Linked DNA regions of Oryctolagus cuniculus. The protein of the gene in region 2 interacts with the protein of the main gene of each other region in a pairwise test. Links are inferred from orthologs where the notes say so. Each region holds a gene or a part of one and is shown on either strand. Other genes may lie near its edges.

Region 1 (4,125 bases), on a different chromosome or scaffold from region 2:
CTCCACCATCTTAAAGTTATAGAATATAAAGTTTTATTTAATATAAAGAAAAAGAAACTTTTAACAGCATTGGAGATACCAGAGCAATGTTAAGTCCCCTCACACAATGAAGAAAAAAGAATCTTCCCTATGCTACCCACTTAATCAAAGACTTTTGGAACTAACTGATTCTATACAGAATCAACACTATTTTTGTACTATTCTAACATCAAGGAAAACAGAGACTCTTGGGTGGGTAGTGGGCATTTAGCCTAGCACTTACGCCCTGGGTCTCACATCAGAGTGCCTAGGTTTGATTCCCAGCTCTGGCTTCTAACTCCAGCTTCCCACCTGGGAAGCAGTGGTGATGGCTGAGCTAACTGGGTTCTTGCCACCCATGTAGGAGACCTGGACTGCATTCCCATTCCTGGTTCTGGCCCAGACCCAGCCCTGGTCATTGTGGGCATATGGGAACCCACCAACAGAGTCCTCTCTCAAGAAATAAACAAAAATTAAATTTTTGAAAAAGTGACTTTTGTACATAAATTTAACTGGATCAGGGTTTTTACTGATTTAAAAGATCTTTTTTTAATATTTATTTATTTATTTGAAAGAGTTACACAGAAAAGGAAGGAGAGGGAGGGAGGGAGGGAGGGGTCTTCCATCCAATGGTTCACTCCCCAATTGGCTGCAATGGCCAGAGCTGCACCGATCTGAAGCCAGGAGCCAGGAGCTTCCTCTGGGTCTCCAACACAGGTGCAGGGGCCCAAGGACTTGGGCCATCCTCTACTGCTTTCCTAGGCTATAGCAGAGAGCTGGATCAGAAGTGGAGCAGCCGAGACTCAAACTGGTACCCATATGGGATGCCTTCACTGCAGGCGGTGGCCCTACCCACTACACCACAGCGCTGGCCCCAGTTTTTACTGATTTAAAGAATTACGTTGGGGCCAGCGCTGTGGCGCAGCAGGTTAACACCCTGGCCTAAAGCGCTGGCATCCCATATGGGCACCGGTTCAAGACCCATTGCTCCACTTCCAACCCAGCTCTCTGCTATGGCCTGCGAAAGCAGTAGAAAATGGCCCAAGCCCTTGGGCGCCTGCACCTACGTGGGAGACCCGGAAGAAGCTCCTGGCTCCGGATCAGCACAGCTCTGGCCGTTGGGACCAACTGGGGAGTGAATCATCAAATGGAAGACCTCTCTCTCTCTCTCTCTCTGCCTCTCCTCTCTCTGTGTAACTCTTTCAAATAAATAAATAAATCTTAAAACAAAAACAAAAACAAAAACAAAAAAACAGAATTACACCTATTTCTCATACAAAACTAAACTTTGTTAAACTATTTAACAAATACTATTAAATACTACTAAAAGAGAAATTATTTACTCACTATATTCCCAGACAACAGGTGAACTATCATCTTTTCAGGACTAACTACAAAACCCACATTGTACCTGACACAGCCTTTCTGTGCTGAGCATCCAGAGCCTGGTCGATCTCATCAAACAAGTAAAAAGGAGCTGGGTCACATTTCTGGATGGCAAAAATCAGAGCAAGGGCTACCAGGGATTTCTGTCCACCTGAAAGCTGCTGCATTTCTCTCATTTCACCTTGTTTTCCTGTAAATGACACCTAAAAAAAACGTGTTATGCATTTGTATCTTAGAGAAAAAAAATCACTATTATCTCTTAAGTCGCCTACAGTGTGCCAATTTAATTTGCAAAAGATCCACCGAATTCTGCCACGGTGATATTCTAAAGAAAACAGAAAGTAAAGGTACTTTACCCTGATTCCAACACCAGTGAACTGATCAACTGATGGGACACTGCTTTGTGACCCAGAACCCCTCTCACTTTCACCACTCCCTTCTCCTTCATCCTGAGACTGACTGCCTTCCACGTCTCCTTTCTTCATCACCAAAGTAGCTTTGCCTCCAGGCACTAACTTCTGGAATACTTCACTAAAGTTCTTGGATACCTTAAAAACAAAACAAAACAAAACCCTGTCAGCTGAAATATAAATTTTGCTTAAAACAATTATTTTAAAGCAATCAGAAGTGTTTTTTAATCTTAAAAACAGAAATGAAATATTGGATCCTTTCAAGAGCCTGTGTTGGGTCTATTCTCTGTGTCAGTGGGTGGGAAGCTTTACAAATTGAGTAACAGCTGAGTCTTGGCTCTGTGTGCCTGTGCATTTTAACTGTAAGCAGAAACACACCTGCTTGAAAGTTAACTGAATAGCTTCGTATTTTCGAAGTTCAAGTACATTCATCAGTTCCATGATTGATTTGTACCCCCTATCCAACTCTTCTTGTCGCTTTATTAACTTTTCTTTCTGCTCAGAAAAGTTTACAAACTGATCCAAAGCTTTTTTGTTAACATGGCTGTACTTCTTTAATTCTGTGTTGCACTGCTCAAGTTTTCGAAACAACTATAAGGAGAAAAAAAAAAGTATAAATAAATTCACATACAGGGAGATTTGCAATGAGACTTCAAATTTAAAGCCAGTAAGATTTACCTGTTTGAGGCTCAGTGTCTGGTACTTTTCAAATGCTTCCTGGGGTAATGATCCTAGTTCTCGAATTTTCTTCATACACTCTTCTTTCTTCTTCAGTAGCATGCCCTGTCGATTTGTCATCTTTTCCAGTTCTTTAGTGTCATGATTTATAGCATCCATGTGTTCTTTTTCCATATTTTTCCAGCGTTCCATACTCTTCTGAAGCTCCTTAATTCCAGCTTCTGTTTTATCAATGGAATTGTCCAAATCTAAGGTGGGGAAAAAACAAAATTAGGCTATAAAATCTATTTTAAAGCCCAAATGTTATTTGAGCAAAGATTTTATTTTAATGGCCAAGTTTACCAAACTATATAGGTGTTAGGTTTTTTTCCAGTGTTTGTTTAAATTTTGCTGTGAAAATACATAAACTACTTAGGACAAAATTGGGCTTGTAAATCAGTCACTCCAATATAGTTTTTATTATTTTAATACTTGTTTATATAAAAAACTAAGAAATTGATTTTCTTCTCAGCAACTAAGTGACAAGAACCTTAATGAAAGCACTTTTTATCTTTTTCCCATAATATTTTACTTTATAGTTTCTAATAAAAATGTCACAAACACCTCAATAAAACAAGTAACTATTTGTTACTATTTATAATCAACCTAAACACCACTCACCATAAATTGTTTATAAATAACACAAGACACAAAAACTTATTAGCACATGCTTTTTGCCTCTTAAGGTATTTCATTTTGTAGTAAAGCAATCTCACAAAACAAATAAGGCTAACTGTAAATAATCAAAAACATTTTTACTACATAAAAATTCACCTTCTGATCGTGCCATGGTATCTTTTACTCTTTTATTGATGGCTTCAAGTTCTGATGTTGTGGCTGTAAGGACAGTACCCCCTTCTGTCTCTCTCAGTTCATTAAGTTCCTAAACACAAAAGGACCTATGAACATTAGCATTAAATCAAGTGAAACAAATTTTGTTAACTTCAAAATGGTATGTCTGCTAACAGTTTCTACAGCTGTTATATTTGAATCCAACAAAATCAAAAATACATGAATACAATGGAGTAGGAAGATTAATACTAGAAAATTTCTCAGCATCTGAGTACTACTGAGAAAATATTATTAATTAGCATTTACTGAGCACTTAGAATGTGCCATGATAGTGACCATGCAAAACAGGTACTAACACTAATGCAGACTTTATTTACATAAGAAACACTGGCTTAGAAATAATAAGTGAGAATCGCCCAAAACTGCACACTAGGTGGCAGTGCTAGAACTCCAATCTAGGTCCCTTAGGTCAGTCAGTTATGTTTCTGTCCCCAAAGCCTATGCTTTCAGTCTCTCATATAACCACTTTCAAATGGGTTACGATCATCAAGGAACCCCTAAAAAGGAACAACGTACCTGTTCTACTTGGTCCAAGCGTTTTCTCAGATTCTCATTGAGGTAAGTCTCTACTCGAGTAATAATACCTTCTAATTTAATTCTTTCATTTAGCAACTGCCTATTTTCCTAGAATTTAGAAAGGGAAATTAGTTGTCTAAATAAGCATGCACATTTCACACACAGAAACACAGTTAGTCTATTGTCTTTTCTATTACTTGTCCTCAAAAGTACTGAAATGGGGTTT
Region 2 (4,125 bases):
GTTGCAGCTGGTTCATGCGACTCGCCCATCTCTCAGCCTGTAGCCCTCTCCCCGGTGCTGTGTTCACACAGGAAGCATTGGCCGGCTTGCCCTTGACTCTCTCCCCGTTGGGTGCTGCTCATCATCTCTCTGGTGTCTTTGCCCGTTTTCTTCTCTGTGTCCTGCCAGTTCTTGATCAGCTTTTTGTCACTGAATGGAAATACGGAAGGCAGGCTACTGGGAAGGAGCTTTTTAGCTTCCACTTTGGGTGCTGAAAGTGGAAACATGGCGTGATGGCAGGCGTGTGTGTGTGTGTGTGTGTGTGTGGCGGAAGTCCAGGGCCCTCAGGCTTTGTAAGAATCTCAAGCCACCTGAGAGCTCACCCCCGGGTGACCCTGGATCTCCCTCTAGACCCCACCTCCTACGCCTCCTCACTCCCGCCGGTGTCACGCTGGGATCGGGCTCCCAGCGCGGGAGCCTCGGAGGGGACCAAGGACACTCAGCCACAGCAGTGGAAATAAGGAGGCTTGCAGTCCGGGTGTGGCGGGAGTGCATCTCGGACAGTGCTGGACAGTGCTGTGGTCACCGTGTGGGACTCTGCCCGTGGCCTTGGCCCAGGGCTGTTTATTCTTGGAGGGTTGGAGAGCAGAGACCCTGGGTCCCTCCCCCTCCCCCAGGCACAGCCCCTGCAGCAGAGGCAGGAACCGCTGGCTGCCTCTTCCCTCCCCTCCCCTCCCCTGAGTGACTGTCCCTGGCCCCTAGCAGGGCTCTGGGTGGTTTTTGTTGGTTTGTTTTTGTCTACAAGTATTTGAGGCCATGGATTTTAACTAGTTAGATGTGTTTTGTCTCATTCTATCTCAGCTTTTCTTAACTGGTGTTCAGCCTGCCTAGTGTTAACAGCGGGAGCCCACTTGCGTTACCTTGTGGGGACCGTGTGGCACATGCAGTAGACGTAGCGTCCTTGTTTTCTGATAGCACAGGACGGTTCAGGCTCACTATGTATTTGCTGCCCCTGGGTTGGTCGTTGTTTCTGGAAATTTTCACTGTGTGAACCCAGAATGTAGACACGTGTGTGTGTGTGCACATAGACATCACAGACATACATGTATGCATATAATGTGTCTTGAGCTCGTACAGTGTAGCAAGGCAGGGTTTTGCCTGTGTTCCTGGCTTTGCACCTGTGTCTCTGTCTGCTCCCAGCAGCCTCGGCTGTTGGTCTAATGTACCTGACAACGTGCACCAGGCAGTTCCGCCCGCCACTGCCAGCGCGTTGTGCCAGCAGGTGACTGATAATGCTTCAGATTTGTGCTGTGCGTCTGTTTGTCTTTTTGTCTTTAGGGTGTATTGCACTGGGGATGTACAAAGCATTACTCTGTTTTAAAGTTATGAAATAACTCTCTATTGGTGTGTGCTGGCCAATTTGGTATTATTGTTTATCTTGCTTTCAGTTTCTGGGCATTGGTGCTTTTAATTTTGTGTGTGGGTATATGACACGTACGCGTGGTTTTAGGGTCAAATGTACACAACACGGCCGTCTCACCTGTGTGAGAGCCCAGAGTGTGGCCTCTGCTCCATTCCTTAATGACATGGGTGCGTGCGGGTGCGTGTGCTCACGTGCCCTCGTGGCCACCCTGCTTCATTTTCAATGACTGTCTTTGCCGGTGCTTTGTGAAGCAGATGGGGCACCGGCCGTCCTGTCTCGCGGCCGCACGTGGCTCTGCAGTGATGCAGCCAGGCTGGTGTTGGCGCGTGCGTGGGTGGAGCGGTGTCTTGAGAAAGTGATTTTGCATGCGATGTTTACCCCGCCTAACAAAGGCGCTGGCGCCGTGCCGGGTTGAAGAGGAGGACCGGTGCTCAGCACGCTCGGGACGGCCCTGCGCTGGGTCCCGGCAGCCAGCTTTGCTCCTCCGGGCACGAGGAAAGGAATCGCGAGGAGCCTGTTTCCCTGCAGCGTCTCCTCCAGCAGCTGTTGGCTGTTCTGTTGGAGGCTGTCTTTTGTCAAATGGAAAGATTATTTGAAACTTTTCAGGCCAGCGCGTGGCTCACTTAGTTAATCCTCCACCTGTGGCGCCAGCATCCCATATGGGCACCGGGTTCTAGTCCCGGTCGGGGCGCCGGATTCTGTCCCAGTTGCCCCTCTTCCAGGCCAGCTCTCTGCTGTGGCCTGGGAGTGCAGTGGAGGATGGCCCAAGTGCTTGGGCCCTGCACCCCATGGGAGACCAGGAGAAGCACCTGGCTCCTGCCAGCGGATCAGCGCGGTGCGCCGGCCGTGGTGGCCATTTGGGGGATGAACCAACGGAAGGAAGACCTTTCTCTCTGTCTCTCTCTCTCACTGTCTAACTCTGCCTGTCAAATAAAAAAAAAAAAAAAAAGAAAATAAACTTTCCAGTATAGAAAAAGGGTACTAATTCAGCATTTCTGCCACTCTCCCCCATTAAAACAGCTTCTTAGTGAATAAACTGTAACGTGATTGTTTTCAACAGGTGGACTTGTGAAAAAAATCTTGGAGACGAAGAAAGATTATGAGAAGCTACAGCAGCCCCCCAGAGCCGGAGAGAAGGTACGGGGTCCTGCGTGTGCTGGTGAGGGCGCAGCCTGCTCCGAGCTCGCCCTGGGAAACCGACCGGTAATGCCTGTTCACAGGTGCAGTGCCACCCCTCCCCGGGATAGGAACAAGTGCCACCCCTCCCCGGGATACGAAGTGCTGGGCAGGCCCTTTCTTGGGGGGGGGGAGTCTGTGTCCTAGGCCACCCCTCCCCGGGATAGGAAGTGCCGGGCAGGCCCTTTCTTGGGGGGGGGGGGGAGTCTGTGTCCTAGGCCACCCCTCCCCGGGATAGAAGTGCCGGGCAGGCCCTTTCTTGGGGGGGTATCTGTGTCCTAGGCCACCCCTCCCCGGGATAGAAGTGCCGGGCAGGCCCTCTCTTGGGGGGGGGGTATCTGTGTCCTAGGTCACCCCTCCCCAGGATAGAAGTGCCGGGCAGGCCCTCTCTTGGGGGGGGGGGCATGTCTGTGTCCTAGGCCACCCCTCCCCGGGATAGAAGTGCCGGGCAGGCCCTTTCTGGGGGGGGAAGTCTGTGTCCTAGGCCACCCCTCCTCGGGATAGGAAGTGCCGGGCAGGCCCTTTCTGGGGTGGGGGCTGTTTCCATGTCCTAGGCCACCCCTCCCCGGGATAGAAACAAGTGCCACCCGTCCCCGGGATAGAAGTGCCGGGCAGGCCCTCTCTGTGGGGGAAGTCTGTGTCCTAGGCCACCCCTCCCCGGGATAGGAAGTGCCGGGCAGGCCCTCTCTGGGGTGGGGGCTGTTTCCATGTCCTAGGCCAGAGGTGGGGGCAGTGGCTGCTTCAGGAGCTCAGAGCCACGGGCCTGGTCTGCTGCGTCCGCTCCCTGCAGCCTTGGCCGCCCCTGCTCCCAGGCTCTGCTTGTAGAAGGCGGGACCGGGCTGCCTGCGAGACGCCAGGCGTTGTGTGAGCTGGCTGTCCAGCGGGTGCTCTGCTTGTGCCTGGCTCCTGGGGCCTCCTTACAGACGTGCGGCAGTGCCCGCGGGGGGGGGGTGCCTCGGGTGCCAGGGGAGGCTTGTCTTCAGTCACTTTGGATGAAGAGCAGGAAGTTTCTTGGCTAGTTTGCTTTGTCAGCCACAAATTCCAGTTTTATATATGAGGTTCTATGCATTTGTTTACACAGATATATGAGGTTCTATGCATTTGTTTACACAGAAGTTGCAGACGCCTGCACGCACACACGCACGCACGCACGCACCTCTGCCAGGTGAATCAGCACCTGCGTCTCTTGGGTGATTCCGCTTGGAACGCTGGGTCAGTGCTGAAGGTGCCCGGTGGCCTGAGGCTGCCGAGCTGAGGCTGGCACTAGAGGGCGCCCTTCCACCGCGGCCCGGACAGTGCCGCAGGCTGCCGCTGTCTTGCTGGGGAGCTGTCACTCATCCTGGTCCTTCCTCCTGCGTGGGGCTGTCCCCGCGGTGCTCGTGGGACCCCCGTGGAAACCTGGGTGTGCCCCTCCTGGCGTCAGCCTTGGTCTCCGCCTCCTGCGGCTTCCATTTTGAAGCTGTGATTTTATGTGGCACATGCTGGGACTGCTCGAGCGTCCTCGGCTGCTCCGCTGACCGGAGAATGAAGGGAAAATGTCCCTGTTT
Region 3 (4,468 bases), on a different chromosome or scaffold from region 2:
GTGTCAGCAGATACTAGACTTGCCCATGTGCTCCCCTTGACTCTCAGTCCTTTCATTATGATCAATTGTGAACTGAAATTGATCACCTGGAATAGCGAGATGGCATTGGCACATGCCACCTTGATGGGATTGAATTGGAATCCCCTGGTATGACATGGAGATTTTGAGGTGCCCCTCTCCTTCCCTGCTGGATGGATGTCCGAGAAGACCAAATACAGAGTTACGACTTCAGCTAATCTTAAAAGTAACAAGGCAAACCATCCCCTGAAAGTGTCAGAGAAGCCACATGGGGATCAGTAATGAGGCAATTCTTCCACATCCAGCCTGAGTAGTATTAGTAGGTACATAGTGGAGAGTCTTGTCTTCTACTACTGCCCCACACTTATAAAGAGTACCCCTTCCCCAGTGTCAATGGAGGCCAAGCTGCTGATAATAAGATGATGTCCTTTCCCCATTGGAGTAGCGTCATAGGATCCTGCCATATCAAATATTTAAATGAGATCAAATGTCTCACAATATTAATCACTAATATATCAAGAATTTAATTTTAATAATCACTTATGTTAAAAGGAAAACTAGGCTATTCTCAATTAGAGTGAGAAAACATGATCTAAAGATGTTGACACTCAGGGTTGTCTAACAAGGATTTTGTAGACTCTACAATAAAAATACTTCCACAATAATCATGAATATACTTGGAACAAATATAAAAAACATAAAGTTTTAGCCAAAGAAAAGAATATATAAAGAAGAAAATATATTTTGAAATAAAATATTCAATAACTAATATTTTGAAAACTCCATGAATGGGCTCAACAGTGGAATGGGAGAGAAAGAGGAAGCAATAGTGAATTGGATTTTTTTTTGCCCTCCGCGCCCGGCAGCGTTTGCCTGCGCCTCTCGCAACCTCCTCGATCCTGCGCGTTCCGGAGACAGGGGAGCGAGCGGGAGGGCTGGCAGACTGGCCCGGGCTGCGGCGAGGGGCTACGGCTGGAGCGTTCCTGGGCGGGATCGGCGCCGCTGGTCGACTGGGCGGAGTGTGCACGCTGCTTGGCTCGGCAGACTGATCCCGCCGCCAGCTCCCTGGAGCAACGATGTTGGGCCACAACGTGCCGAAGCCCGCGGCCGGCGAGGCGGGCTCGGCGCTCCTAGAGGACCAGGAGAACATCAACCCCGAGAAGGCGGTGCACGCCCAGCAGCCGCGGGCCCAGGCTGCTCTGGTGGTACTGAAGGCTGGGAACTCCCGGGGTCCAGTTCCACAACAGAGGCCCACGACGCGACGGGTTGCACCTCTTAAGGATCTTCCTATAAATGATGAGCAGGTCTCTGTTCCTCCTTGGAAAGCAAACAGTAAACAGCCTGCATTCACCATTCATGTGGATGAAGCAGAAGAGGAGCCTCCCAAGAGGCCCACGGAATCTAAAAAAGACAAGCCTGAAGATGTCCTGGCTTTTAATTCAGCCATCACTTTACCTGGACAAAGAAAACCACTGGTACCTCTTGATTAGCCAATGGATGGTAGTTTCGAGTCACCATATACTATGGACATGTCAATTGTATTAGAAGATGAAAAGCCAGTGAGTGTTAATGAAGTCCCAGACTACCATGAGGATATTCACACATATCTTAGGGAAATGGAGGTTAAATGTAAACCTAAAGTGGGTTACATGAAGAAACAGCCTGACATCACTAACAGTATGAGGGCTATCCTCGTGGACTGGTTAGTTGAAGTAGGAGAGGAATATAAACTACAGAATGAGACTCTGCATTTGGCGGTGAACTACATCGATAGGTTTCTTTCTTCAATGTCTGTGTTGAGAGGAAAGCTTCAGCTTGTGGGCACTGCTGCTATGCTGCTAGCCTCAAAATTTGAAGAAATATACCCACCAGAAGTAGCAGAGTTTGTATACATTACAGATGATACCTATACAAAGAAACAAGTTCTGAGAATGGAGCATCTAGTTTTGAAAGTCCTTGCTTTTGACTTAGCTGCACCAACGGTAAATCAGTTTCTTACCCAATACTTTCTACATCAGCAGCCTGCAAACTGCAAAGTCGAAAGTTTAGCAATGTTTTTGGGAGAATTAAGTTTGATAGATGCTGACCCATACCTAAAGTATCTGCCATCAGTTATTGCTGGAGCAGCATTTCATTTAGCACTCTACACAGTCACGGGACAAAGCTGGCCTGAATCATTAGTACGAAAGACTGGATACACTCTGGAGACTCTTAAGCCTTGTCTCATGGACCTTCACCAGACCTACCTCAAAGCACCACAGCATGCACAACAATCAATAAGAGAAAAGTACAAAAATTCAAAGTATCATGGTGTTTCCCTCCTCAACCCACCAGAGACACTAAATGTCTAACAGTGAAAGACTGCATTTGTTTCTAAGATGTAAATCACTCAAAGTATATTGTGTACAGTTTTTATCTTGGGTTTTGAATGTTACAATCATTTCTGAATACAGAAGTTATGGACAAGAACAAATTATGGTATCTATTACTTTTTAAATGGTTTTAATTTGTATATCTTTTGTACATGTATCTATCATAGATATTTGGCTAATTTTAAGTGGTTTTGTTAAAAGTATTAATGATGCCAGCTGTCAGGATATTAAGAATTAATAAATTGATTTGGAAAATTTTATAAGTCAAATTTAATTTGAGATAAAAACCTGACTTCAAGATTTCTTAGAAAAGTTACCTGGCTTATACAGTACAGTGGGGAGTGGAAAGCCACTCTCTAAAAAGTTGACTTTAGGAAAACAGACCCTCAATGTTCTAATATCCATTTTCCTAAGCAACTGGATCAGTCTGCCGATTTCTGCACAATAAATCTGTGCTTATTTACCAGTACGATGAAAATCATTCTTCTTTGTACACACACAGCAGCCTATCAGATTATTTTATTCCTCATCAATTTTTACACTTTACACATACACAGGTTGGGGAATAAGGCTTTGAGATGACAAAATTTTCAGAGAAAAAGCTCTAGAACATTCACTTTAATGTTAAAAAAATAAAACTTAGGGATTTGTGAATAAATGATACCCAGGTTGTTAGCACTGAATAAATACATCTAATAGTTATATATACAAATATACAACTATGTTAGCTTTAATTAGCAGCTCTCTTCTTTTTTCTCTTTTTCATTGGCTTTTTACTTGGTGCTTTTTCTTGTTTCCCAATGGTGGTCTGTGTTCTGCGGATAAAGTAAAATAAATTAACAGTTCACTTAATTATGCTTAAGTTTTGGATCACTGAAATAGGAGGTCTTTTATTTTTTTGCACTAGGGTACAAAATGTGACAGCAGGAAAAGTAAATACAGTAACCCTGAAAGGTATCCAAAAATAGTTTAATAGAGAGTTAGGTGCTAATTTTTATTAATTACAGGGTGAAAAAAACACATAATAGCTGATGAAAAAGGGATGTCTGTGTATAACAGTTCTGTAAGATGAGAGTCAAACCAGAGAGCAAGCCTCAAACTCTTAAGTTACATGTACATGTTTGAAATAAACCAAAAACTTGTTACCTTAAAAAAAAAATAGTGAATTGGAAAACAAATCAATAGAAAAATTACCTACATGGAACTAGCATTGTGGCACAACATATTAAGCGACAACTTACAATGCTAGCATCTCATATCAAAGTGTAGGTTCAAGTTCCAGCTGCTGTTCTTCCAATCCAGCTCCCTGTTAATGTTCCTAGGAATGCAGTGGATGATGACCCAAGGACTTAGGTACCTGCCACCCATTGGAAAACATGATGAATTCCTGGCTCCTGGCTTTGCCCTAGCCCAACTCTGAATATTTTGACCATTTGATGAATAAACTAGTGGATGAAAGATCCCTATATATATTTCTTGCTCTTGCTGTGTGTGTGGGTGTGTGTGTGTGTGTAGATCTGAGAGAGAGAGAGACACAGAGAGAGGGAGACTCACTCTCTCTGTCACTCTGCCAATAGAATAAATAAATGAATAAATATTTTAGGAAAAAAAAGAACCAATTTTAACAAAAATATAAAAGAAAAAATAATAGGAAAATTTGAAACCATAGCAAAAGATATAATATCCATAGCATTCATAATATCCTGGAAGGAGGGGAGCTTAAAATATAATAAAATAAATAATAGTTGAAAAATCCCCAAATTTATCAAGAAAACATAAGTTTACAAATTCTAAAAGCTGAGCAGATTGCAAACAGCAAATCCCAAAGAAATCCACAAAAAAAGTATATAAATAGTCAAACTCTGAAAAGCACAAAATAGAAGAAATCTGAAAAGCAAAGATTAATGCCACCTTCGTTATAGGAGAAAAATAATTCAGGTGACAGCCAATTTCTCATCAGAAATCATGAAGGCCAAAAGGAAGTGACACAATATTTTTCAAGTGCTAAAATAAAATAACTGCAAATTCAGACTTCTATATGCAACAAACATATCCTTTAGGAATGAAGGTTAAAGAAT
Region 4 (4,125 bases), on a different chromosome or scaffold from region 2:
CCTGTGACACCAGCATCCCGTATGAGCACCGGTTCAAGTCCCAGTTGCTTCACTTCCAATCCATCTCCCTGCTAATGTGCCTGGGAAAGAAGTGGAAGATGAAGCAAGTCCTTGGGGCCCTGCACCCACGTGCAGGTTTTTATGGGGTCATACCAGACTGCTCTTACACCAGCTTTTCACAGTTAACAGAACCCACAGGCCTCTTCCGGCTACTACTCAGGTCGCTTCTGAGTCTCCTTGGCCCCTCCCTGACCTGTGGGTGGCCATGTGTGCCAGGTGCCCAGGCGTCCCGCCTCTGTGGGCCCGCTGGGCGCGGGTGAGCATCACTCACGTCAGCTCCTGCAGCTTGGCGCTCTTCTCGTGCTCTTCGCTCTTCAGCTTCTCATAGTCGGCCTGCAGCTTCTCCAGCTCCAGCTGCAGCTTCTGATTCAGGCTGTGAGGGCCGCGGGGAGAAAAGCAGAGGTTCACGCGCAGGAAAGGGAAGAAAGCTCTTCAAGCACTCTCCTCCTTGCAGGAGGGAAGCCACTTGGAATGGATGCATCAATGCAGGCCACTGCTTCTGTGACACAGCAAACAGCCCTGAGCTCGCCAATCAGTCAGGCCTCAAGGGGAGGGAGCAGTCCATACTTCTGTATCTCCTGATACAGCTGGGCTGCAAAGCTGTGTCACGGTGGACGGAACGACACGTGGGAGTGGAAGAACCAGATCCGGAAGGGCAGCTGAGCGCGCCCCGCAGGACGGGAGGACCTGGGGGAGACTGGGGCCACCCACGGGAACCTTACTCTTTGAGTTCATCAATGGTCTTTTGCTTCTCATTGATCTCGTCCCGGAGCCGGGCCAGCTGCCGGTGATGGGCCTCCCGGTGACTCTCCATCTGCACCTCCAGAGCCTTCTGCAAATAACCCCACTCCAGGCTCAAAGCCGGACTCCCAAGGCACCCCCATGAAGTCTCTGCTCCTGCGCCACCCTCGGCCCCGGCCCCAGCCCCGGCCCCAGCCCCAGCCCCGCACTCACCTTCACTTCATCCGCATCCTGGGTGTCTGGCTCCTTGTCCTTCAGGGCCACCTCATGCACAGTTTCTATGAGAAAGACAGCTCATACCAAACCCATCTCCTCCAGATAGACCCACAGGTGGTGACCAAAGCTCAGGCTGGGCAGGGGATGGGCTGTTCTGGGCAGGCCCAGGGTTTATGGTTCGTGTGCATGGGCCACGTGCAAAGGCCTGGCTGGGCTCTTAGCAAGAGTCTGCACCCGTGGTTTCAGGCTAAGGCTCTGGGGGACTGTCAGGCTGGTGTTTTGGGGACGTCTGGGACTTTCCCTGGGGGATCTCAGATGCCAGGACAGGTGGGACGGAGTTGAGGAAGGCCTCACCCTGGGCCTGCAGCTTGGCCAGCTCGTCACTCAGGGAGTCGTAGGACTCCTCCAGGTGCCGCTTCTTCAGCTCCACACTCTGCATGTATTCTGTAAGCGAGCGGATCTTGGCCTCATGCTGGGAGGAGAGGGGTGGGAAGAGAAAGAAGATGGCTGGAGCTGGGGACACAACTCCGAGCTGGTGCATACCTGTCAACTCCCATTCTCCCCAGTCCTCCCCCACCACACGCCTTCCAGGACGCTGCAGGTCGGGCGTCATTCCTATGGGGACTCTGTTGGACCCTCTCGGATCAGAGCCTTTGTTTGGCTGAATTCTCCCCACTGGCACCCCAGCTCCTCTGTCCCTGATCTCAGCTGACCTTGACCTTCAGGAGGGCGCTGGGAGCTTTATCCACAACCGCACAATAGCCATGTTCCCCAGGGTTCTCAGCTCAGGCGCTTACCTGGGAGATGAGGAGCTGGCAGGACGACAGCTCGCGCCCAGTCACCTCCATCTTGCGATGACATTCCACCTGCAGGTTCTCCAGCTGCCGGCACCGCTTCACCACGGACTTAACCTCCGATTTGATTTTGCTGATGTAGAGCCGTGCCACCGTGAACTCCTCCTCGATGGCCCCGCTGATCTCCACTGGCTGGGGACGGGCAGAAGAGGAAGACCAGCTGCAGGGGGGTCCCAGGCATCCCTCCCGCCTTCCGCCCAGCCCCTCACACACTTGGGGACTCAGGTGGACAGGTGAACCCCCTGCAGCAGCTCTCCTGGCAATTTGCACTAAATCCCTCCACCTGCGTTGAAAGAACCAAGGGCCACACTCCCCGCTCCCATCTCATCATGTATGATGATTTTCTTTGGTAGGCGAAACAGTGTCTCACTTCCACAGCACTGTGCCCCCACTGCTAAATTCTACGTACATCTCCATTGCTTCTGCACTTGGTACCTCCGCAATGTGTCCTGTTGCCTGAGTCTGTGCAAACCTCTTGCTGTTTTCTGGGTCTAGTGTGAAGGTGTGTCCCCTGGCTCTCTGCACCCCCCTCCCCAGTATCCCCGAGGGTCTGGATTGGGCCACCCTGCACATCCCACCAGGGCCTGACCAGGACTGCTGGGTCTCCCCACTCACCAGCTTGATTTCCCCGTTGCCCACGATGACGCTGAACTCACTCAGGTCCTTCATCAGCCCATTCAGCACCTCGGCAATTCGTTTGCGCTGGTGCCCACTGACCTCCTGGAGTCGCTGCAACTCAGACTCCAGGGACAGCATCGTGGCCTGGGGAACAGCCCCTCTGGTCACTGCCACTGCCATTCCCACTCCCCTCCCTGGCCCAGGCGGAGGCCTATCACTTCGTGCGTGACCCTCAGGGCCGCCACAGAGAGGACACAGGCCCTACAGAAGGGTGTGGAATACAAGGGGCAGAAGGGCAAAGTGCAGGGGCAGGATGGGTGCCAACACCCTACTGCCCAGCCCCCCGGGGAACATGGAGGATGTCCGAGGCCAGGAGCACTCGGGCCACGAGCAGGCCACTCACCACCTTCTGAGACAGCTCGTCCACCAGCAGCTGGTTCTGCTGGCTCTTCTCCTCCACCTCCTGGGACTTCTGGTCGTAGTTCACGGCCAGCTCCTCCAGGGCCTGCAACACTTCCTTCACCTCCTCCTTGGCGGCATCGTTCTCTGACTGCAGGTGGCTCAGCTCCCGCTGCACCTTCTCGTTGTCCCCTCGAGTGGACACCAGCAGCTGCACGGGAGAGGAAGGGCGTGTGAGAGAGCACCTGCTGGCGACTGTCCCCACAGCCCCACAGGCTGGGGAAGATGAGCCCCCGACCCAAAGCGTAAGTTGGAGGGAGTGGGTTTTAGGCTCCACAGCAACAGAATGAAGAAGCACCCAGACTCCAACTCTGAGCTTTCAGAAAAGCCCCAAAGCACTTCCTAGACTTCTGTTAAGTTTTGGGGGGTGACCAGCCCCCAGGCAGAATGCCACTTCCTCCATCCGATTTTTTTTTTTTTTTTTTTTTTGACAGGCAGAGTTAGACAGTGAGAGCGAGACAGAGAGAAAGGTCTTCCTTCCGTTGGTTCACCCCCCTAAATGGCCGCTATGGCCGGCGTGCTGTGCCGATCCAAAGCCAGGAGCCAGGTGCTTCCTCCCAGTCTCTCATGTGGGTACAGGGGCCCAAGCACCCGGGTCATCCTCCACTGCCTTCCCAGGCCACAGCAGAGAGCTGGACTGGAAGAGGAGCAACCAGGACTAGAATCCGGTGCCCATATGGGATGCTGGAGCCGCAGGTGGAGGATTAACCAAGTAAGCCATGGCGCCAGCCCTCCAATTTTTTTGTTGTTGTTATTTATTTTATTTGAAAGGCAGAATTAGAGAGAGAGGGAGAGACACACAGAGAGAGAACCATCCACTGGTTCATTTCCCAAATGGCTTCATTTGGTTTCCCAGGTGGATGGCAGGGGCCCAAGCACTTGGGCCATCTTCTGCTGCTTTCCCAGACCATAGCAGGGAGCTAGACAGGAAGTAGTGCAGCCACGACTTGAAATGGCACTCATGTGAGGTGCTGGTGTTGGAGGCAGTGGCTTTACCTGCTACACCGCAACTCACCGACCCCCTGCCATCTGATTCTATAAAGGCCTTCTCAGGGGAGGGTGTTTACAAGTAGGGAGACCTACGTCCCACACTGGGGTTCGATTCCCAGCTCCAGCTGCTGACTCCAGCCTCCTGCTAATGAGGACCATAGCAGGCGGCAGCGATGGCTCAAGTCAC
Region 5 (4,125 bases), on a different chromosome or scaffold from region 2:
CGGTGAGGCGCTTGCTGTCCACCTCGTCGGTGCTCTTCCCCTCCTGACTCAGGGCCTGCGCCTGGGTCTGGAGCTCCTCGATCTCCTTCTTCCGCACTTCCATCTGATTCTCCAGCATCTGAGGGTCAAAAAGAGACCACCCTTCACATGGGAGCCAGGGGAACACACAGTCCTAGGAAACGCTGGTTTTGGGCAAGGGCCCCAGTGGAAGATCCAACATGAATGTGCATAGCAGAGAGCCCAAGAAACGGATTTAACATCCATCAAACTATCAATCAGCAATGCCAGCTTCTTTGTCAGATTTTTAAAATATCCCTTCCTAGGATTTTTAAATGTAGGAGTAATGTTCAAGTTTATGCAGGAACCTGAGGAGGGAAAGAAAAGGGGAAAAGTAACTGACCATGAGAAAAAACAGGTATTCACTCGCCTGTTCGGAAGCCAGTCTCATCATCAGAAAGCAGGGCAGTCGAGGGGCCAGATGTTTTAGGCAAGGAAGATAGCTACGGTTTCATCTGCCCTCCCTCTCTTTGCTCAGAAAGCTGATTCTCTCCCCCTCCCCAAGCCCCATGATGGATACTCAGCTGTGTGAGGAAAGTGAGAGCAGAGACATCTCAGTCAGGAAACAGCACCCGAGAAGACCACATACTGACAGCTTAGAGACAAGGGGACCCGCATCACAGCTAGAAGAGGTCAACAGCCACGATTAAAAGCCACAGAGAGAAGAAAACTCCCTGATGCACAGTAACTTGAGCAGAATAAACACACCATCTAGCACAAGGAAGGGTGAGCGTCACCCAGATGAAGAAAGAACCTTGGTGTCCGGTGATTCGTTCTGGGTGGAACTGCTGGCTGCAGAAGGAAGCCACACACCGTGAAGCTAGCAAGAGGAGCCACAGGAAGACTCGGCCATCAACCTGCTTTCCCAACCTGGACAGAGCTGTCTTCTCACAAATTTGAGGTAAATTCATTTGCCCATTCACATTCAATCCCATTCACAATAGCTACAAAAACAACCAAATATCTTGGAATAAACTTAACCAAGGACGTTAAAGATCTCTACGATGAAAATTACAAAACCTTAAAGAAAGAAAGAGAAGAGGATACCAAGAAATGGAAAAATCTTCCATGCTCATGGATTGGAAGAATCAATATCATCAAAATGTCCATTCTCCCAAAAGCAATTTACAGATTCAATGCAATACCAATCAAGATACCGAAGACCTTCTTCTCAGATCTGGAAAAAATGGTGCTGAAATTTATATGGAGGCACAAGAGACCTCGAATAGCTAAAGCAATCTTGTACAACAAAAACAAAGCCGGAGGCATCACAATACCAGATTTCAGGACATACTACAGGGCAGTTGTAATCAAAACAGCATGGTACTGGTACAGAAACAGATGGATAGACCAATGGAACAGAATTGAAACACCAGAAATCAACCCAAACATCTACAGCCAACTTATATTTGATCAAGGATCTAAAACTAATTCCTGGAGCAAGGACAGTCTATTCAATAAATGGTGCTGGGAAAATTGGATTTCCACGTGCAGAATCATGAAGCAAGACCCCTACCTTACACCTTGCCCTTACGGCTTTCTAATGTGACATAAAAAACCTTATGTGATTATCTATATATAGAGTACCTTAAACAACTCAGGCAACTGTCACATATCCAGATGCTATACAAAAGTAGACAAAAGTGATTATCTCTCTGTGTGTAAAACGCAGGACTGAATGAAAGTAATATTTACTCAACTGTTAATAACACTCATGAATGAAGAAGATGCCCAATTCTACTAACACTGTCCTTTAAGCTGATGTTGAAAACGGCCCCATGAGGCTGTCAGAACAGCATTTTGCTGGGTATTAACATCTCTTCCTGTGGAAGGCAATGGCTGAGAACACAGTGGGTGACCAAAAGTAACGAAGACAAAGGCTGTGAAACAGACCCAGGCCTGGGGACGTGGCTGTCCCACAGCACACTTGCCTGTTGTTTTTTCAGCAGGATGTTGACACTGGTCAGGTCTTTGCCATAGTCGTCAGATTGGATCTGACTCTCCAAGCCATGCAGCCATTTGTCTAGATCTGCACAGCTCTGGGTGAAGAGTTCAGCCTTGTTGGCATCAAAGAGCCGCTGGGCCTTGGTCTGGGTGGTGGACTCAAGGACTTCCCACATTTTATGTAGACTGGTGAGCTTCTCTTTGACCACGGCTTCCGTCTCGGGCTTCTCTGAAATGAGCTGCATTCCTTCCTAGAGAACACAAACCAGCGTGGTTCTAAATAAACAGAATTTGCTGGAGAACAAATGTCACTGAAAAACAAGGCTAAGACATCTGATCTGCGATTTACCCTTTCATTCAACACACACACCCACCCCACTCACAGTCATTCCACATTAGGATACTGTGCACATTAGTATAGGTTGTGGGGGAGGAAACACAGCGCTGCAGGCTGAAACAACTGGAGCAATGGGAGACTTGGAGCCAATAACCTAAGACTTCATCTCATTCATTCCATGCCTCAGCGATCAAACATAACGCATTATTTTCCCCATTCAGAGCCTGAAACAATATCAGAGGTGTGAAGGGAGAGGAGGGAGGGTGGTAACTTTTACGCCGTTGGGTTATACAGCAGAGAATCTATTTCTTGTGCTGAAATAACAGGTTTCAACAGTTAATACAGATCTGGTCTATATAGTCAAACAAGAAAAACAGATTTTAAGTATATATTTTAAAATTCTCTGCAGCTCTATCCGATAAAGCTGTCACAGTACGACACAGGTTAATATGATCAATATGGTGGTGACCCTCCTTGGTGGGGACTCTTGGTCTGTCAGCTCAACAGCAGATGAGGTGCACAACACAGACTAAAATGCTTGGCATTCACTTAAAGAAAAGCCAACCATTTTGCAACACCTGCTTGGGTTTTTGCTTTTCTCCCTTCTAGTGGGTTGAAGTCAGGACCTGGTAGGTCAAAGTGGGACTGCTACTGGCTGCAGAACTTCTGTAAAGCATCAGGTAAGACGCAAACAAGCTGGAATATGTGCTACACGCGGGAGTTTTCTCATCGCAGCCACAAAATGGGAATGGGGACTTTCTTGAAACATTTAACCCACCTTCTCAATTTTGTCAAGCCATTCTTTGTTGGATGCAAGTTCTGCCATAAATGCTTGATGTTTTAACCATTTACTGTGCAGATTTCTGGCTTCATCGTATGACATATCCTGGGCTGTCAGCATCTTTTCATTGATCCAGAGAGATAGCTATAAAACAAAAGATCAGGAAGGATTCAGATACTGTGATCACAAACCACTGTTTTTTTCCTCTGCTGAAAAAAGGGACTATGTGTGCGTCATGAGTTTCCATGGCAACACAAAACCAAATATGTAACTTTACAACTTTCACCCATCATGAGGGGTACCCATTATGCAAAAGTTGTACCAGGGCTTTGCTTTGCAATGTGCATGTTATGCTCTGCCCCAAAGTACAAAAGCTCTTTGAATCTGCTTTCAAGCTGTTGGCCATTCCTACCCAGCTATACCACAAAGGCTTGCATTTAAAATTCTCCTCTAACCAGCCCAAGTCACTACCTCTTTCCCTTCCAGATACCTTTGTTGTCTATGCCACTGTGTTAAAACATGACTGACTCTCATCTTGTGTGGTGATCTTGTTGCTCTTCCGACTTTCTATTAGAAAACGAATCCATTCACTCATTTAACTACCTCCCTGCTTCCTGGCTCCAACTGTGGGGAGGCCAAAATGCACCAGTCACGCTCACAATAGGGCTCAGTCAACAATCATGCCCTCTTCACGGTTCTTCTGTCACCTTCGCCTTTCTGTCTACAGCCTCCAGCCTGCTGAAGACCCTTTCACTGAGACTGAGAACACTCCACAGGAGTTAACTTTGAGACTCAACATGTCCACTTGGATCTGAACTCTGGAAAGCCACACAAAACCTTCCAGCCATGACAGATCTGAGGAAGGAGTTTTCTTAGGAGGCTTAGAGGTAAGGAGTCAGCCAAACTCCAGGCCGTGGACCTTTTATTGGCTTTCCTTCTGGTTGAGCCTTTGTCGCTTATTGCTCCCTTGCAATGGGCCATGCCAGAGTCCTGATTCCTACCCCAT
Region 6 (4,565 bases), on a different chromosome or scaffold from region 2:
GCCCACAAATGGCACTGGTGTCCCCAGTTGTGCCGCTCCACTCCGCACGCGGTCTTTCTGCACACTGGCCTGCACTTTTATACATGGATTTCAAGATGTTTTCTCCACCAAAATAAATTTTTCTTAATTTGACTTCCCACGAACCTTTTGAAGTCCATGGCAGTTCGTCAGATTGAAATTGTCCCTGAAAAGATTTAGGCAGGTCCCTGGGAAGAATGTCCCAAAAGGGCCAGAGTGGGTGTCCTGTGAAGTGATGAACTGTGCAGGCATGCGGTGTGGATGAGAAAAGCCCTCAACAGGAGTCTGCCGAGACCTCCACTGGGACAGCGGATGACCTAACCTCCCACCGACTCCAAACCAATCAGTCCACCCAGGAAAAGTTTTTAACAAGGTCAAAGAAAACACATGCATTTTCTCCCAAAGCAAAGGTACTGAAAGCCTGCGGTTTGCCAGGAGAGGAAGACAAATCCACAGCTAATCTATTCCTTTCCTGCAAAGCAACTGTTCCTGGCTGACGTCAGCTCAGATTCCATTCAGACCAATGAGTTCCAGGAATCCTGCGGCAGGTGCCGCCCCAGAAAGTAATTCCAGCGACAATGAAGTTTCCACTCAATACTCTTCCTTCCGGACTTTGTGGGTATTTGGGGATGCCTGGGGCTAGGGGCGGATCCATTTCCCACTCTGCGAACAAAAGGCAGACAACCAAAGCGGTGGACCGCGGTTGGATCCCAAAGGAAGAAGGATCTAGAAACCCGTCACGCACGGGGGGCCGGGGGCGGGTGGGTGTTGGGGAAGCCGTGAGCTGATCTTGGCTATAGAGGGTGGACCCAGCAGAAATCCTAGGTGTGAGGCTTAGGCTGCAAGGTCCTGGAGAAATTCGGCCACGGCCAGCCTCTCCCGTGGCCAGCGTAGGCTCTTGCCCAGCCCGCCCCCCTCACTACCAAGGAACCGAGACCAGCTCTGCATCTCCGCTGCGCCGTCCCACCCCTGCTTCCCAGGACCCGGCGGGCAGTCTTTGCTCCAGCCGAGGCCCGACTCTCACCGTCGCCGGGGGCTCCTCTCCTCTCAGCTGGGGGGCGAGCGAACTCCGTGCCGTCTCTGACCTGTGGCTGCCTGCCCGCCAGCAATCCCGAGCTGTGAGCTCACATCCTGCGCCGGTCGACTCCTCCCGGAGCAGCGGGCCATAAGCCTGAGACTACAAAGCCCGGCATGCACAGCACTCTAACAGGGAGGGGAGGCGGAAATTCCCGGAGGATCTTCCGGGCAAGAGCATAGCCACTTCCGGTAGCCCTGCAGGCGCAAAGGCCTCTGGATCTTGTAGGCAGTCATCCTTCCCTTCGGGCCTCTGTTTCCCAGCAGGCCCTGTAGGATGAACGGGTGTGAGTGCTTCCGGTGTCCGGAAGTGACGTTGTGGATAAACAGGTTTTGTAGCCGTGGCAGCGGCTGAGGAGAGGCGAGCCGGCCAGGCACTGACTGCTGCCCACCGCCGAGAGGAGCTGCCTGTCAACATCAGCCTGGGCCGCAGCGCACCACCGCTACGGGTGGGCAGGTAGGTCGTGACCTCGGGTCGGGGGCAGCTGGGTCTAGAGGAACTGGACAGACCCGCTGTTGAGGAAAGGCTGTTCCAGGCTGAAAGAAACTTAGGAATTCCGCCCGTCCCTTCGCGAGCGTTTCACACTCAGGTTGGGCCTGGAGCTTGAGCGTGGTCTTAGGAAGCGGGGACTCGTGTAAATCCAACGGGTTTGCGCAGTAAAGACAGTGTCAGGCCCTCCGGACTCAGCCTCGTGCTTCCTCCAACCCCAGGAACGGGGCCTGTGCCTGATGCCAAGCATGGATCGTGGTGAGGCGTTTCCGCCCTCACCCCGGCGCTCCGCCGCGTGTAGTGGGAATTGGGATGGAATCTGATGGGCAGCTGGGAAGCCTCTCCTTCAACCCTTCTCCCGTCTCAGGTGACTCATTCAGCTACCCCTCCCAGGTGCAAGGGATTCATGCCCGACCGCTTCACTCATCCCCTCCTCCAGTCAAGCCCCTCTAAGTCCTAGCAAATCGACTTACAGAAACATCTCAACCCAGAACGCCGGCCTCCAGGTGCTGGGCTGCTGTAGTGGCCTCCGGCTGCTTGCACAGCCACTGGTCATCCCACAGATGTCCACGGAGTGCCGACTGTGCAGGCACCGTGCTGGGTGCTAGGGTTGCAGTGATGAACACAGTAGGTGTGCTCGCCTTCCTGGTCTTCTGAGGCAGAGTGGTTTTTTATTTATTTTTAAGATTTATTTGAGAGGTAGAGTTACAAACAGAGAGAGGGGTCTTCCATCTGCTGGTTCACTCCCCAGATGACTGCAACGGCCGGAGCTGCGCCGATCCGGAGCCAGGAGCTTCTTCCAGGTCTCCCACACGGGTGCAGGGGCCCAAGCACTTGGGCCATCTTCCACTGCTTTCCCAGGCCATAGCAGAGAGCTGGATCAGAAGTGGAGCAGCCAGGACTCAAACCGGCGCCCAAAAGGGATGCTGGCACTGCAGGCAGCGGCTTAGCCTACTGTGCCACAGTGCTAGCCCCCAGAGTGATTATTTTAAAAAAAAGATTTGTTTGTTTGAAAGGTAGAGTTAGAGAATCTTTGCTATGCTGGATCACCCCCCAAATGATTGCAACAGTGGGGCTGGGCCAGGCCAAAGCTAGGAGCCTGGGACTCCATCCTGGTCTCCCATGTGGATGCAGGGGCTTTCCTAGGCCCATTAGCAGGGAGCTGGATCGGAAGAGGAGCAGCTGGGACTTGAACTGGCACTGATAAGGGATGCTGACATCACCCAGTGTGTCACAATGCTGGCCCCCAGAGTGGTCTTTCCCAATGATTGTGTCACTCTGCTGAGAATCTGCTGGCTGCTCCTTACTGTTAAGACGTTATTGTGGGGCTGGTGCTGTGGCATAGCGGGTAAGCCGCCGCCTGCAGAGCCGGCATCCATAAGGGCGCCAGTTCAAGACCTGGCTGTTCCACTTCTGATCTAGCTCCCTGCTGTGGCCTGGGAAAGCAGTAAAAGATGGCCCAAGTCTTTGGGCTCCTGCACCCATGTGGGAGACCCGGAAGAAGCTCTTGGCTTCGGATTGGCCCAGCTCCGGCCGTTGTGGCCATTTGTAGAGTGAACCAGCAGATGGAAGACCTCTCTCTCTCTCTCTCTCTCTCTCTCTGCCTTTGTCTTTCTGTAACTCTGCCTTTCAAATAAATAAATAAAACATATGTTGACAGGTTAAAAAAAAAAAAAGACATTATTGCAGTTCAGTGCCAGCTCCCCGAGTGGTCTCCCTGTCCCACTCTCCGTCTTGTTCACCTGTCAGCCACACTGGCCTTCAGTCCTTGGAATGCATCAGATTTCTTTTGTCTCAGGACTCGTACATAAACTTTTCCTTTTTAATATTTATTTATTTGAAAGAGCTAGAGGGGTAGAGACAGATCTTCCACCTCTGGTCACTCCCCAAATGTCTGCAATGGCCAGAGCTGGGCCAGGCTGAAGCCAGGAGCTTCCACTGGGTCCCCCACTTGGGTGCAGGGGCCCAAGGACTTGGGCCATCTCCCGCTGCTCTCTCAGGCCATAGCAGAGAGCTGGATCGGAAGTGGAGCAGCCGGGACTCACATGGGCACCCACGTGGGATGCTGGCGCTGAGGCCGGGTCTCTAACCTGCTGCGCCACAGCGCCGGCCCCTGAGCTTTTCCGCTGCTTGAGCTACCTCCTTGCCCACTGCTCTCAGCGGAGTTTTGGGCGTCCTGTAGGTCTCGCTGTGACTTTTTCCGAAGGCCTTCGCCTACAGGGCCCTCTGAATTCCGCGCTCCTCCTCTGCTGCAGCTGCACACCCAGCCCAGCGTCTGCTCACCCCGTTACCAGGGTGCGGGGTCCTTGGTTTGCAGTCCAGAGACGTTTCCTTCACTGCCCTGCCCCAGAGCAGGCGCTGTAGAGTTGCTGTCGGCGCAGGGGACAGGAGCTGAGGCGTGTTTGCTCCTTCCCGCCACTTGAAGCTCTCGCAGCAGCTGGTCTGATGAATCGCCTGCTGGCTGTCACACTCTGTGTGTAAGTGCGACAGAGCAGGCTGGATGACAGATGGTCTACAGAAGTCTGCTGTTAAGGAAACTCTGAAGTGTTTAAAAACGGGCAGGCGTCGGTGTGGTGGCCAGGCCACCACTTGGGACGCCTGCATCGCGCATCTAGCACCTGGTTCTGGACTCAGCCACTCTGCTTCCGACCGAGGTTTCTGCCGATGTGCACCCTGGGAGGCAGAGGTGACGGCTCACGTATCGGAGTCCCTGCCACCCCGTGTGGGAGACTTGGACTGGGATCCAGGCTTCTGGCTTGGGTCTGGCCCAGCCCTGGTGGTTGTAGGCATTTGGGGAGTACCAGAGCAGATGGAAGCTCTCTCTCCATTTATCTCTTGGCTTTTGAATAAAAACAAATACAAGGTTTCAGTGGATTCGCGAGGCCAGGGTCGTGCAGGCAGCCGTGGCTGGCCCGCTGCATTGGACTGCATTGCTCCTTACAATTTTTGATGCTTAGGTATCAGATTGCTGTTCCTTCTGGAA
Region 7 (4,125 bases), on a different chromosome or scaffold from region 2:
TTGTAGCTTGCAAAAGGAGAACATAATATAGAAAATGTGTCTTCTAATAATGAAAATTTTTACGGCAAATAAAAGCGAAAACAAAATTAGTGTTAATATGACCGTCTAAATTTTTCTTTTCTTTTTATACAGCGCTTTTCCTGTATTATTGGGCCAAATGGCAGTGGCAAATCCAATGTTATTGATTCCATGCTTTTTGTGTTTGGTTATCGAGCACAAAAAATAAGGTCTAAAAAACTCTCAGTACTAATACATAATTCTGATGAACACAAGGATATTCAGAGTTGTACTGTAGAAGTTCATTTTCAAAAGATAATTGATAAGGTAAGGGGCTTCTGCTATTCGGTTATTTGCAGCTTCAAGTAAGGAAAACAGAGAAGAAAACTTCAATACTTTGCACATTTGATTGTTTTTGGCTTAAATCAGCTTTTAAAAATTTTAACTAAAGCAAAAGAGATGGTAATTTTAATTAACTGTGTAACGATTTTTTTCTTTTTGAGGAGTAGGGGTTCCTGTTAATAAATTTTTTAGCCGGAGAAATGAAGTATAAATAGCTCATAGTAATCCTTACACTTTCTGGACAAAACATTGAGCAGTTTTAGGATACTGAGTGCTAAATAGGCATTCTTTTACTATAAATTTGAGCTCAAATTTTAAAAGTTATATTTTTAATTGCTTAGAATAAATTTACTAAACTTGAAAATTTTTATGGTTGAGTTATTTTTACCAACACCATTATTTCAGTGCACACTGAGGTTAGTTTATTTGTGGTTTTCTATGTCTGTGATATGATGAGCTTTTCTTTGGTTGGAACTATTTGATTCTGTTGATTTTTTTTTTTTTCTTTTCTGTTTAATGAATAATTTTAGGAAATTCGTGAATCAAAACTGATTAAATAGAGCTCAAAAATAAAACAACACGTATAGTGAAATTGGGGAAATGACTTGGTTTCTGGGCTTTTTTTTTTTTTTTTTAGCATGAAGGGCTTTAGTTGCACAGAAGCATCTAGTTTATTAATACATTTTGTTGAGTAATTTGGATTAGAAAATAGATTGCCAGTAAATCAGATGTTATTCTATTGCTATTAGCTTTGATTCATCTATATTTTTAAAACAAAGCTTCAGTATAGCAGAGCTTTTACGGTCAGGGAATGTGAGTTTTAGTATTAAATCAGGAATTATTGATTCTTTATGGTTGTTCTCTTTACCTTTGATTAAATCTGTCAACATGATTTAATTAGATGGGTGAGTTTGTTTTGGGTGTGATGGGATTCTTGTCCATCAGCTCTTCAAATACGATTTTAGGTTTGTTTGGGGATGGGTTTTTTGGTTGGTCTCTTTACTTTTTGGTTTTTGTGATCTTTGAGAAAGGTGCCAACTTGGAAAAGTGTTCTTTGCCAAGCAAGGTTATTTCTGAGAATTGCTGCCAGTTTGTAAGCATATTCAGTGAAGTTTTTAATCCACAGTATTCATTTCCGTATGAACTGAGTGAAATTTGAAGCAGACCTGTGACTTAATACCAACACTTGTTTTCTGGTTTTGTTTTTCCTCAAAACAGGAAGGAGATGATTATGAAGTCATTCCTAACAGTAACTTTTATGTATCCAGAACGGCCTACAGAGATAATACTTCTGTCTATCATATAAGTGGGAAGAAAAAGACCTTTAAGGATGTTGGAAATCTTCTTCGAAGCCATGGAATTGACTTGGACCATAATAGATTTTTAATCTTGCAGGTGAGATTATTAAAGACTTCAGAAGGTCTTTCTTATTACTTTTTCCCCCCCAACAATGCCAGAGAGGTTTCCCCTGTTGGATGAATCCTGTGTTTTGAGGCCTTAAAGTACTGTAGCAGCACATCATGGTTTACATAATATAGTCAAGATGCGAATCATAATTTGCTGCTCTAGAAATTTAAGGAAACACACTCAAAACTGGATTTTTATCATCTGATGCTCATTTTATGTTTAGATGGACTGACTGACTTGTTCCGCTCTAGCAGCACGTAAATATTGGCGTAGTGAAATAAATATTAAACACCAATATTATTGTGCTGCTTTAGCGTGACAGGGATATAACAACTATTTAACACTTCTGTTTGTATTTCCCTTTAAAATAACATTTTAAATGAGTTTTATTCTCTTTTAGTAGTCCTCTTTTTTTTCTCTTCTAATATATAGCAAAAAAAAAAATTACACTACTGTTTGACAAATTTACATGAGCACCTAACAGATGTAGTCATCTTAACACTTAGAATGGATACTGGTTAACTAAAAGTTTGTTCAAATTGTTTTTTGTGTAGAGTAGCCTGTTTTCTTGAACTACTATTGGTCAATTAGAAGGAAACCTTAACATTATATTCTTAAGTATCACAACTCTTACAGAACAAGTCTTTTTAAAAAGTGTAAAATTAAGTACTTGATAATTCTGTTGATTTTTATTAGAAATCCTGTATTGAAGTAATGGTATATTTTACCAGCATTGCTTGATTAGAAAAACCCTTTCTGTTTTCCTGTGTCTTAACTTTGAACCAAAAATATTTTTTAGTATATCACCATAACTTCTCAGACATTTAAAAATTAAGAGTATCTCATTTTCCTATGTCCTTTCCAGCATAACTAAGAGCATGATAATAAAACCAAAATTATTTTTTGATGTAGAAATTACTGTTAATACCTTATAGTGTCATATGCTACTGGTTTTAAAATAAGGTGAAAATTTTGATTAGATACTAAAAGTTTTGTTAGAATGAGTGTTCACAGTAAGAAATTTGTAGAATTTAATCCCTATTTTCATTTTAGTTTTTATTCTTAAAATATGTTTGTAGAAATAAAACTTTCAGGCTTTTATAACAAATAAGACAACTCTTGTCATTCTGGAAAAACTTTGAATTTATGTAAATGTGGAATTAAAGGATGGTTTTGTGTTTTTTTTAATGAAATTGAACTGCTTTATAGATTTTAATATTCTGGGACTTGGTTTGGTTAATTAAATATTAAAAAGTTATGTCCCTATATAATATACTAAATTTTATACCATTTTGTAGGAAATTGTCTTTTGCTTACTTACAACAGCATTTTAACCATTTTACCAAATTTTTTTTATTTCATGCAATCTCTCTATATGTGATTCAATAATAAAGGGAACTAATAATGTAATAATTTCCCAAAGGTAATTAGAATGATCTTTAAGATACCTTGTCATTGTGATAATCTGAACCTTTAGGTGATCTTAATTAAATGGTTAAAAATATTTCATCCTAAATAATATCTAGGTAAACTTTAAGAGTGACACAGATTTAATTTGATTGTATTAAATTTACAGAAAACAACCTTAGGAATTATCTGTTAGGAAGAAGAAACAGATTGGACTAGATAGAATTAATGTTGCCCTATTAAAAGTTTGAGCAAAGTGGCAGTGGTTTCTGTGGATTTGTTAAATAATTTCTCACCAAAATCTTAGACACTTATGTAGAGGTTTAAAGCATTTGAAGGTAAGTAAGAATGTGGTTCTTATTACCTTGTTTCATATTGGATGATATTTATCTTTTAAATTATCTGATTGAGAAGGCTGGAAAATTGTAGAAAATGTCACTGCTACCATCCCAGACATAAATTATTACCTTGAATAAAATTTATAGACTATTTGGACCATGATAGTGATTAACATTATTTTATATATTTGTTTACTAGGTTTTTCAAATAGGCTTTTCTACTATTTGAATCCATTTGAAATTTCATTCGTTCCTAATGAGGCACTATGCTAAGATACTATGAGTAATTTAAAGATGGCTAAACTCTATTTCTTGTCGTTAGGGACATTAGACATAACTTCAAAAGGCGTTAGATTTTGATAGACCATTGTTATTTTCCATGTTCGCACATTTTCCCATTTATATATGCCTTATTTGGGAGCCTTTGTCCTATTATAAATTGATTCAAACAAATAGTTTTACTAGCTCTGTAGCATTTCACAGGTATCTAACTTAAATTATTAGTTTAACTGGTTTTAGTGCAATTGTAAACACTTGAGAACTGTTATTAGCACAGCTTCAGTTTTGGCAGTTTTCAACTCTTCTTTTTGTCTTAATATTACAAAATCTAAGTTAAATTTTAAACTAGGGGTTT

Evidence for each region.
Region 1: the proteins of TRAF3IP1 (region 2) and SMC3 interact in a two-hybrid assay, tested with the Homo sapiens proteins (2 studies listed by BioGRID and IntAct). The link is inferred for Oryctolagus cuniculus from reciprocal best matches to the Homo sapiens genes TRAF3IP1 and SMC3.
Region 3: the proteins of TRAF3IP1 (region 2) and cyclin-A2 interact in a two-hybrid assay, tested with the Homo sapiens proteins (2 studies listed by BioGRID and IntAct). The link is inferred for Oryctolagus cuniculus from reciprocal best matches to the Homo sapiens genes TRAF3IP1 and CCNA2.
Region 4: the proteins of TRAF3IP1 (region 2) and KIF5A interact in a two-hybrid assay, tested with the Homo sapiens proteins (2 studies listed by IntAct). The link is inferred for Oryctolagus cuniculus from reciprocal best matches to the Homo sapiens genes TRAF3IP1 and KIF5A.
Region 5: the proteins of TRAF3IP1 (region 2) and SPTBN1 interact in a two-hybrid assay, tested with the Homo sapiens proteins (2 studies listed by BioGRID and IntAct). The link is inferred for Oryctolagus cuniculus from reciprocal best matches to the Homo sapiens genes TRAF3IP1 and SPTBN1.
Region 6: the proteins of TRAF3IP1 (region 2) and IFT20 interact in a two-hybrid assay, tested with the Homo sapiens proteins (2 studies listed by IntAct). The link is inferred for Oryctolagus cuniculus from reciprocal best matches to the Homo sapiens genes TRAF3IP1 and IFT20.
Region 7: the proteins of TRAF3IP1 (region 2) and SMC4 interact in a two-hybrid assay, tested with the Homo sapiens proteins (2 studies listed by BioGRID and IntAct). The link is inferred for Oryctolagus cuniculus from reciprocal best matches to the Homo sapiens genes TRAF3IP1 and SMC4.

Annotation. Positions count from the first base shown.
Region 1 is NC_091446.1:19,682,919-19,687,043, forward strand, and holds part of SMC3 (structural maintenance of chromosomes protein 3), read right to left. Parts: intron 4,008-4,125; coding exon 3,900-4,007; intron 3,415-3,899; coding exon 3,306-3,414; intron 2,741-3,305; coding exon 2,493-2,740; intron 2,406-2,492; coding exon 2,193-2,405; intron 1,953-2,192; coding exon 1,761-1,952; intron 1,608-1,760; coding exon 1,430-1,607; intron 1-1,429. UniProt on the Homo sapiens protein: Central component of cohesin, a complex required for chromosome cohesion during the cell cycle. The cohesin complex may form a large proteinaceous ring within which sister chromatids can be trapped.
Region 2 is NC_091434.1:2,056,291-2,060,415, reverse strand, and holds part of TRAF3IP1 (TRAF3-interacting protein 1), read left to right. Parts: intron 1-2,462; coding exon 2,463-2,605; intron 2,606-4,125.
Region 3 is NC_091435.1:65,354,706-65,359,173, reverse strand, and holds cyclin-A2, read left to right. Parts: upstream 1-1,511; coding exon 1,512-2,369; 3' UTR 2,370-3,549; downstream 3,550-4,468. UniProt on the Homo sapiens protein: Cyclin which controls both the G1/S and the G2/M transition phases of the cell cycle. Functions through the formation of specific serine/threonine protein kinase holoenzyme complexes with the cyclin-dependent protein kinases CDK1 or CDK2.
Region 4 is NC_091442.1:60,179,585-60,183,709, reverse strand, and holds part of KIF5A (kinesin heavy chain), read right to left. Parts: intron 3,100-4,125; coding exon 2,893-3,099; intron 2,634-2,892; coding exon 2,487-2,633; intron 2,004-2,486; coding exon 1,815-2,003; intron 1,490-1,814; coding exon 1,372-1,489; intron 1,080-1,371; coding exon 1,015-1,079; intron 893-1,014; coding exon 783-892; intron 434-782; coding exon 332-433; intron 1-331. UniProt on the Homo sapiens protein: Microtubule-dependent motor required for slow axonal transport of neurofilament proteins (NFH, NFM and NFL). Can induce formation of neurite-like membrane protrusions in non-neuronal cells in a ZFYVE27-dependent manner.
Region 5 is NC_091433.1:147,999,120-148,003,244, forward strand, and holds part of SPTBN1 (spectrin beta chain, non-erythrocytic 1), read right to left. Parts: intron 3,264-4,125; coding exon 3,117-3,263; intron 2,253-3,116; coding exon 1,989-2,252; intron 119-1,988; coding exon 1-118. UniProt on the Homo sapiens protein: Fodrin, which seems to be involved in secretion, interacts with calmodulin in a calcium-dependent manner and is thus candidate for the calcium-dependent movement of the cytoskeleton at the membrane.
Region 6 is NC_091448.1:43,884,550-43,889,114, reverse strand, and holds the start of IFT20 (intraflagellar transport protein 20 homolog), read left to right. Parts: upstream 1-1,380; 5' UTR 1,381-1,549; intron 1,550-4,565. UniProt on the Homo sapiens protein: Part of intraflagellar transport (IFT) particles involved in ciliary process assembly. May play a role in the trafficking of ciliary membrane proteins from the Golgi complex to the cilium.
Region 7 is NC_091435.1:120,356,370-120,360,494, reverse strand, and holds part of SMC4 (structural maintenance of chromosomes protein 4), read left to right. Parts: intron 1-132; coding exon 133-324; intron 325-1,557; coding exon 1,558-1,734; intron 1,735-1,847; exon of another isoform or gene 1,848-1,907; intron 1,908-1,994; exon of another isoform or gene 1,995-2,059; intron 2,060-3,374; exon of another isoform or gene 3,375-3,491; intron 3,492-4,125. UniProt on the Homo sapiens protein: Central component of the condensin complex, a complex required for conversion of interphase chromatin into mitotic-like condense chromosomes.